Saccharomyces cerevisiae S288C: one gene and its partner. The main gene of each other region encodes a partner of the protein of the gene in region 2 in a complex. Each region holds a gene or a part of one and is shown on either strand. Other genes may lie near its edges. A codon is read from its position in the direction of its gene.

Region 1 (4,165 bases), on a different chromosome or scaffold from region 2:
AAGTTGAAAGAATTAGAGAAATTCATTAACCTACTACTGGGATTGCATGAAAGCACTGTGGGAAGTATGATGAATACTAGTGTTCTTGACATGGTACTGCGGAATGGAATAGAGATCATGGAAAAAGACGATCAAAAATATGCCCTGATACCGATTAAAGCCAAGGAAGAGGCAGATAAAACTACGAGCACTATTCAGGGAGTAACCAGCAAAAAGAGTAGTAAAAAGAAAAAAAATAAGATAAAATGTTCATTTTGTCACGAGGCTGGCCACACAAGGGCACACTGCGGTGCGAGACTGACAGTTATACCCAAGAAATAATGAAGGGATCATCGAAGCATTAGACCTACATCTACCTTACTAAGATTGTAAGTACATAGCATGTGTACTGATGTGTTCAGTAGCATTCTTCCATATATTATACTACATAAGGTATGTAAATTTATGTATTTATATATGGAAAAAAGAAATTGAAAGAAAAGAAAAGGAAAGATACTTAGTTATGAATCAATCAGAATACGCATATAACAAAAAAAAAAAGTGGAATGAGAAAGGAATAAAGGATAATCTTTTCCCCTATATTTTTGTATTGGTTTTTTTTTGGCAAATATTTTCTTGTTTTCTGTAATTCATGTCATTTATTGGTAACTCATTTGCCAAGAACATTATCGGAAAAAATAAGTTTACCCTCCAATTGCTGCTTTAGTCGTAAAGGTATGAATTTACTGCTTTTCTTGTTCTTGTCTTTGTTTTAGAACTAATGGGTGGCCTGTTACTCTGAAGTAAATATCTTTAACATCGTCAGTCATGGATTCGAAATGAGAGGATGCGTCGTATGATCTGGATAAGTAAATGTTATCCTTAGAGCCGTCTTCTCTTGGTTCAAATAATTCGGCAATTCCCATGAATTTTTCTTCGATTGGTCCCAGAAGTTTGAAAGCAGGCTCTAATTCTATATGTGGTTTATCAGTTTCAATGATTGTAGAAATAATTGCTAAATAGTGACCCTTGGAGCAAACGTTATGCGCATCTGAAACAATCGCAACGTATATATCGCTTTTCCTTCCCAGTTGGCTTTGTGGGATAATAATTTGTAAAGAATCCGCGTTACTGGTGTTCGGAACTGGATGGTTAAGAATACAGATGGCTCTAATAACTCTTTGACCAGTAGATTTACATTTTTCGGGAAAATAAGTTGGATCAGCAATAACCAATGGGGCCTTGAAAGTTCCCAGCTTAGTCTTGACCCCTTCAAATTTTCCTGTGTCTTTTTTATACAATACTTCATCAATTGGAGTGTCTAGCATGTAAGTACCACCGTAAATAGCCGACAAACGAGCAAATCCTTGTGGAAGTTCGCCTAACCCATACATAGGATACAAATAAGGTGATTTACCGTAACGGGCAACACTTTGGCAATATAACAAAATCCTCTCAAACGATGGCCTAGCAGGTTGTTGTAAGTAGTCATCATTGGTCCATAAAGCCATTGCATGACCGATGAATTCTTTGGTAGAATTGCCTAACCCAAATTTATAATACACTTCATCCATGGTATTCTTGTCTAAGTCTAATCCTTGATGAGTGGACAAGTCATCTTCTTTGTAAGAGCTAATCCATTCTAAAAATTTCTTCATTCTACGTTTTTCAAAAATACCCATCAATGGCGATGAAATGGCTTCTATTTCATTAGCTGGCACTTTGTAAATTTTGCCTTGCTTAAAAACGTAGGAGCCAGAAACTTGCTTGAAATCGACATATCTGGTCACATCGGTATGTATTAAAATATTTGTCAGCTCACCATTGGCCATCAGGAATTTAGGAATTAAGTCGACATTCCAATCTCTATCTTTACCAAACTTGGACTCCCGTTCCTCTTTACTGATCGGATTTTGTTTAAATTTTTCATACAATTGAGATAAGGTCACAGAAGCAGCTTCGCCACCATAATGGTCTTGCTTGTCAATATGTAATACCTTTTTTCCATCTACAGAGAGTAAACCAGATAAGATACATTCGGTAATACCGGTACCTAAGACAATCACGTCGTAGTCAGTGTCTATTGTTTCTTGATCCATTGTGTTATGCTATATAAGTGGTTATTCACTAACAGTTATGATGGAAGGGGAGTAAAGAAAAGGAAAAGACTAATTGCAGTCCTGCTTTGAAAAATATCCTTCCTTGAAAAAAGACTATGTTAGAAATTTGATGGGACGACGTCTCAAGCAAGAATGAAGTAGAACCTTTTCTACTAACAAAATCGGGATAAATCAGCCGACGTGTTGAAACTACATCTACAATCCCTCGCTGAAGCTTCCCACGGCCAAGATTTTGGAGCCCACAGGAGAGGGGAAAACACCGCCAATGTGAGATAAACGATTCAAACATAAGGGTAACCTAAAGATAACGGTTTTGAGCGTTTACGGCCTACTTTACTATGCAACAGCAGATGTTGGATAATAGAGAAGTTTGAGTGATAGATTGTAGAAAGTACAAGAATATGGGTGTATTACGGGAGTTAACAGAGGTATGTACTTTATCAAATGTGGTCTGATATTTTTTTCTTGAAAACAGTCTTGGCTATGTAATTTTTTAAGTTTTGCGCCTTTAGCTCATGTTTAGTTTCTGGTGGGGGAAGCGGTAATTATTTTAAAGTAGCCAACATAAGCAAAATATATGGAGAAAAAGAAGAATACCGTCGGAACCGCTAAAAGTATGTTTTTGTTACAGGATTGTAAAGCTTGTATCGCTTGGCAAGAGTTTGATTGGCCATTCTTGTAACTATTAGTTATTAAGCGGATTTGTCTCTTTTCAACTAGTTTCGAAGATGTCTCAAGAGATTGGAAGTAAACATTGCTTAGTATGAAAGGAATGCCCTTTGTAAATTAACGTAAATTATAACGTTTTCGAAAAAAAAAATTGATTTCGCCCAGGATCGAACTGGGGACGTTCTGCGTGTTAAGCAGATGCCATAACCGACTAGACCACGAAACCTAATTTGTTGAAAAAGTTTCATTAAAAAATAGAATATATCTACAATTCTTAAGATTTACACATGAAATTGTGGAGATGAAGCTCTAAAATATCATTGCTCAGTTATATCGTGTAATTAGTGTATTATCACGTACGGTGTAAAGAGGATGACATGAAAATCGAGAAATAGTCATCAAACCTCTTATCCCGAAAATGACAATACGTCAGGAACATATACACCACTTAATGAAGGGTAATTGATTATATCCCAATAAAGTGAATCTTAGTTTATTCGAAGTTAGTTGTCGATTGTCGTTTGAATATCCCCTTTGAGTTTAACGACCACAAATGCAAGGTTGATTAAAATCTTTCAAGCATGACATGGACTTTAAGAAACTTACATAATTCACAGAAAAAGGTCTTGGTCGATATTACAATTTGGTTAGCACTTTCTCCATACGGTGACATGGCGTTATTTACAAGTTTTGAGAATATAATCGGCGAATATTATAGGTACTCTATACTACCGTTACATCAAAACTTACACAAGTTACTATTCACTCTTTTTCTAATATGCCTCGCTAGTTGGAAAGAGGGAAACAGATCTTGCAGATATAAATGGCAGAAATTTGTGTGCAACAAGCTAAATTCTCCTGAAACAAATTTCGTACCCATTCGCACCTCAGTGAATAAGAACTCTAAAATGATTGTTGAAAAGCAGATAAGCATTCATATTTCTTTAAAGTGTATTGTTTACAAAGAATACTAAGGGATTGAGTAGAATATTTTTCACGCACTAGAAGAAGGACCTGCCGAAAAGGAGACCTTCTCGAGAAACAAGCATTTTTGTCCTTAAACTTACAAAGAGAACAATTTTGTTACAAATCCTGCTCCAAAATAGTCTCAACGCGTTTATTATGACTGGATACCCTGACGTGGCCGCCTTCGATTTGGACTACACCATTTGGCCCTGCTATTGTGATACCCATTTGCACGGTCCCTTTAAGCCAGTTAAAAGTAGTAATGGCGAAGTTCTCACAATTATATGTAGAGATGGTTACGAGCTCACAATCTACAAAGATATCCCACGTATACTAGGTGATCTTAAAGATAATGGAGTTAAGTTAATGACCGCGTCACGAACGTGGGCACCTGAGATTGCCCAGGAAATACTGAAAATATTCAAGGTCAA
Region 2 (2,818 bases):
AAGATAAAAAGAGAGCGTGATATAAATGAATATATATTAAACAAGAGAGATTGGGAAGGAAAGGATCAAACAAACCCAAAAATATTTCAAAAAGGAGAGAGAGAGGCGAGTTTGGTTTCAAAACGGTTTATTTATTTATGCAAGAGGACGTGGAAGAAAAAGAAGAAGGAAGAAAAAAATTTGAAAGAAAAAAACGCGTGGCGGGTAAAGAAGAAAATGGAAAATAGAGGCCGGGTGACAGAGAAATATTGAGGGTTAATTGGAAAATATGTTAGGGTGAGGCATATGTTTTTAAGGGTTTTGAGGATCCGATAAGGAAGAATGTAGGTTAAATGTTGTGCATTAATTGCTGTGGCAGCTTACCCGCTTCCCCACACATTTTGGTAGTATCTGTCCTCTTGTTATTGTTACTGTAATTGTGTATATATGTTCTCGCGTGTGTCTTATTTACTTATTTAGTTATTATATTATATGGGTCTGCAAGGTAGAGGCGCGCTTGTTCAACAGCAGCCCCCACCGGTGTTGGTTAAACTCTGTCCCTTCAGGTTGACGTTCCCTTTGTCTTCCTTCTTCTGAGTGGTTTCGTTCAGGTTTTGTTGGGACATACTTTCCTTGATTTGTCTAGCCATGGTTAAAAACGCATCCTCGACGTTGGTGGAGTCCAAAGCACTAGTCTCTAAGAACGGCATCTTATTCGCGTCCGCAAATTCCTTTGCCACGTCATATTCCACGACACGCTTGTCCTTTAAATCACACTTGTTACCTACCAATAGCTTCAACACTGTTGAGGTTGCATACCGATCAATCTCTTGCAGCCACATCTTCACGCCGTTGAAGGATTCTTGGTCAGTGACATCATACACGATAATGATCCCATGCGAACCACGGTAGTAAGATGAAGTGATAGTACGGAAACGTTCTTGACCTGCAGTGTCCCAAATCTGTAGCTTTACAGTCTTGCCGTCCAGTTCTACAGTCTTAATCTTGAAGTCCACTCCAATTGTGGAGATGTAGTCGTTGGTATATGTGTCGTCCGAAAACCTCAAAAGTAAACAGGACTTCCCGACACCGGAATTCCCGATCAACAGCAGTTTGAACAGGTAATCGTACTCGCTATTCATATTAGTGCTTTTCTTGTTTTATTTATTTCAACCTGGGCCTAACAGTAAAGATATCCTCCTCAAAACTGGTGCACTTAATCGCTGAATTTGTTCTGGCTTCTCTTCTTTTTCTTTATTCCCCCCATGGGCCAAAAAAAATAGTACTATCAGGAATTTGGCGCCGGGTCACGATATACGTGTACAGTGACCTAGGCGACGCCACAAGGAAAAAGGAAAAAAACAGAAAAAACAACAAAAACTAAAACAAACACGAAAACTTTAATAGATCTAAGTGAAGTAGTGGTGAGGCAATTGGAGTGACATAGCAGCTACTACAACTACAAAAGCAAAATCTCCACAAAGTAATATAATGAGAGAAATCATTCATATCTCGACAGGTCAGTGTGGTAACCAAATTGGTGCTGCATTCTGGGAAACTATCTGTGGTGAGCACGGTTTGGATTTCAATGGGACATATCACGGCCATGACGATATCCAGAAGGAGAGACTGAACGTGTACTTCAACGAGGCATCTTCTGGGAAGTGGGTTCCAAGATCTATTAACGTCGATCTAGAACCTGGGACGATTGACGCAGTACGCAATTCTGCCATCGGGAATTTGTTTAGACCTGACAATTATATCTTTGGGCAAAGTTCTGCGGGCAACGTGTGGGCCAAGGGTCACTACACAGAAGGTGCTGAGCTTGTAGACAGCGTCATGGATGTTATTAGACGAGAGGCCGAAGGATGCGACTCCCTTCAAGGTTTCCAGATCACACATTCTCTTGGTGGTGGTACCGGTTCCGGTATGGGTACGCTTTTGATCTCGAAGATTAGGGAAGAGTTTCCTGATCGTATGATGGCCACCTTCTCCGTCTTGCCCTCTCCGAAGACTTCTGACACCGTTGTCGAACCATACAATGCCACGTTGTCTGTGCACCAATTGGTAGAACACTCTGATGAAACATTCTGTATCGATAACGAAGCACTTTATGACATCTGTCAAAGGACCTTAAAGTTGAATCAACCTTCTTATGGAGATTTGAACAACTTGGTCTCGAGCGTCATGTCTGGTGTGACAACTTCATTGCGTTATCCCGGCCAATTGAACTCTGATTTGAGAAAGTTGGCTGTTAATCTTGTCCCATTCCCACGTTTACATTTCTTCATGGTCGGCTACGCTCCATTGACGGCAATTGGCTCTCAATCATTTAGATCTTTGACTGTCCCTGAATTAACACAGCAAATGTTTGATGCCAAGAACATGATGGCTGCTGCCGATCCAAGAAACGGTAGATACCTTACCGTTGCAGCCTTCTTTAGAGGTAAAGTTTCCGTTAAGGAGGTGGAAGATGAAATGCATAAAGTGCAATCTAAAAACTCAGACTATTTCGTGGAATGGATCCCCAACAATGTGCAAACTGCTGTGTGTTCTGTCGCTCCTCAAGGTTTGGACATGGCTGCTACTTTCATTGCTAACTCCACATCTATTCAAGAGCTATTCAAGAGAGTTGGTGACCAATTTTCCGCTATGTTCAAAAGAAAAGCTTTCTTGCACTGGTATACTAGTGAAGGTATGGACGAATTGGAATTCTCTGAGGCTGAATCTAATATGAATGATCTGGTTAGCGAATACCAACAATACCAAGAGGCTACTGTAGAAGATGATGAAGAAGTCGACGAAAATGGCGATTTTGGTGCTCCACAAAACCAAGATG

The links.
Region 1: the proteins of YPT1 (region 2) and GDI1 are in contact, whole or in part, in a crystal structure (PDB 1UKV), measured with the Saccharomyces cerevisiae proteins. Residues at the interface, in NP_116615.1 of Saccharomyces cerevisiae: Thr40 (codon at 1,004), Ile41 (codon at 1,001), Gly42 (codon at 998), Val43 (codon at 995), Asp44 (codon at 992), Phe45 (codon at 989), Trp62 (codon at 938), Asp63 (codon at 935), Thr64 (codon at 932), Ala65 (codon at 929), Gln67 (codon at 923), Arg69 (codon at 917), Phe70 (codon at 914), Thr72 (codon at 908), Ile73 (codon at 905), Thr74 (codon at 902), Ser75 (codon at 899), Ser76 (codon at 896), Tyr77 (codon at 893), Arg79 (codon at 887), Gly80 (codon at 884), Asp107 (codon at 803), Arg108 (codon at 800), Tyr109 (codon at 797), Ala110 (codon at 794), Ser112 (codon at 788), Gly189 (codon at 557), Asn190 (codon at 554), Val191 (codon at 551), Asn192 (codon at 548); in NP_011062.1 of Saccharomyces cerevisiae: Thr5 (codon at 2,066), Ile6 (codon at 2,063), Tyr44 (codon at 1,949), Gln55 (codon at 1,916), Lys76 (codon at 1,853), Arg78 (codon at 1,847), Asn81 (codon at 1,838), Thr96 (codon at 1,793), Leu99 (codon at 1,784), Ile100 (codon at 1,781), Asp103 (codon at 1,772), Thr105 (codon at 1,766), Arg106 (codon at 1,763), Tyr107 (codon at 1,760), Asp109 (codon at 1,754), Phe110 (codon at 1,751), Lys111 (codon at 1,748), Gln112 (codon at 1,745), Ser156 (codon at 1,613), Cys221 (codon at 1,418), Gln222 (codon at 1,415), Ala225 (codon at 1,406), Arg226 (codon at 1,403), Tyr227 (codon at 1,400), Leu233 (codon at 1,382), Met236 (codon at 1,373), Tyr237 (codon at 1,370), Glu241 (codon at 1,358), Gln244 (codon at 1,349), Ala247 (codon at 1,340).

What each region holds. Positions count from the first base shown.
Region 1 is NC_001137.3:437,529-441,693, reverse strand, and holds GDI1 (Gdi1p), read right to left. Parts: upstream 2,079-4,165; coding exon 723-2,078; downstream 1-722. Other genes in the region: YER137C (uncharacterized protein), read left to right, coding at 1-321; YER135C (uncharacterized protein), read left to right, coding at 3,350-3,742; YER134C (Mg-dependent acid phosphatase), read left to right, coding at 3,891-4,165. UniProt on the Saccharomyces cerevisiae protein: Regulates the GDP/GTP exchange reaction of SEC4 by inhibiting the dissociation of GDP from it, and the subsequent binding of GTP to SEC4. Plays an essential role in the yeast secretory pathway.
Region 2 is NC_001138.5:54,866-57,683, forward strand, and holds YPT1 (Rab family GTPase YPT1), read right to left. Parts: upstream 1,122-2,818; coding exon 501-1,121; downstream 1-500. Other genes in the region: TUB2 (beta-tubulin), read left to right, coding at 1,471-2,818. UniProt on the Saccharomyces cerevisiae protein: The small GTPases Rab are key regulators of intracellular membrane trafficking, from the formation of transport vesicles to their fusion with membranes.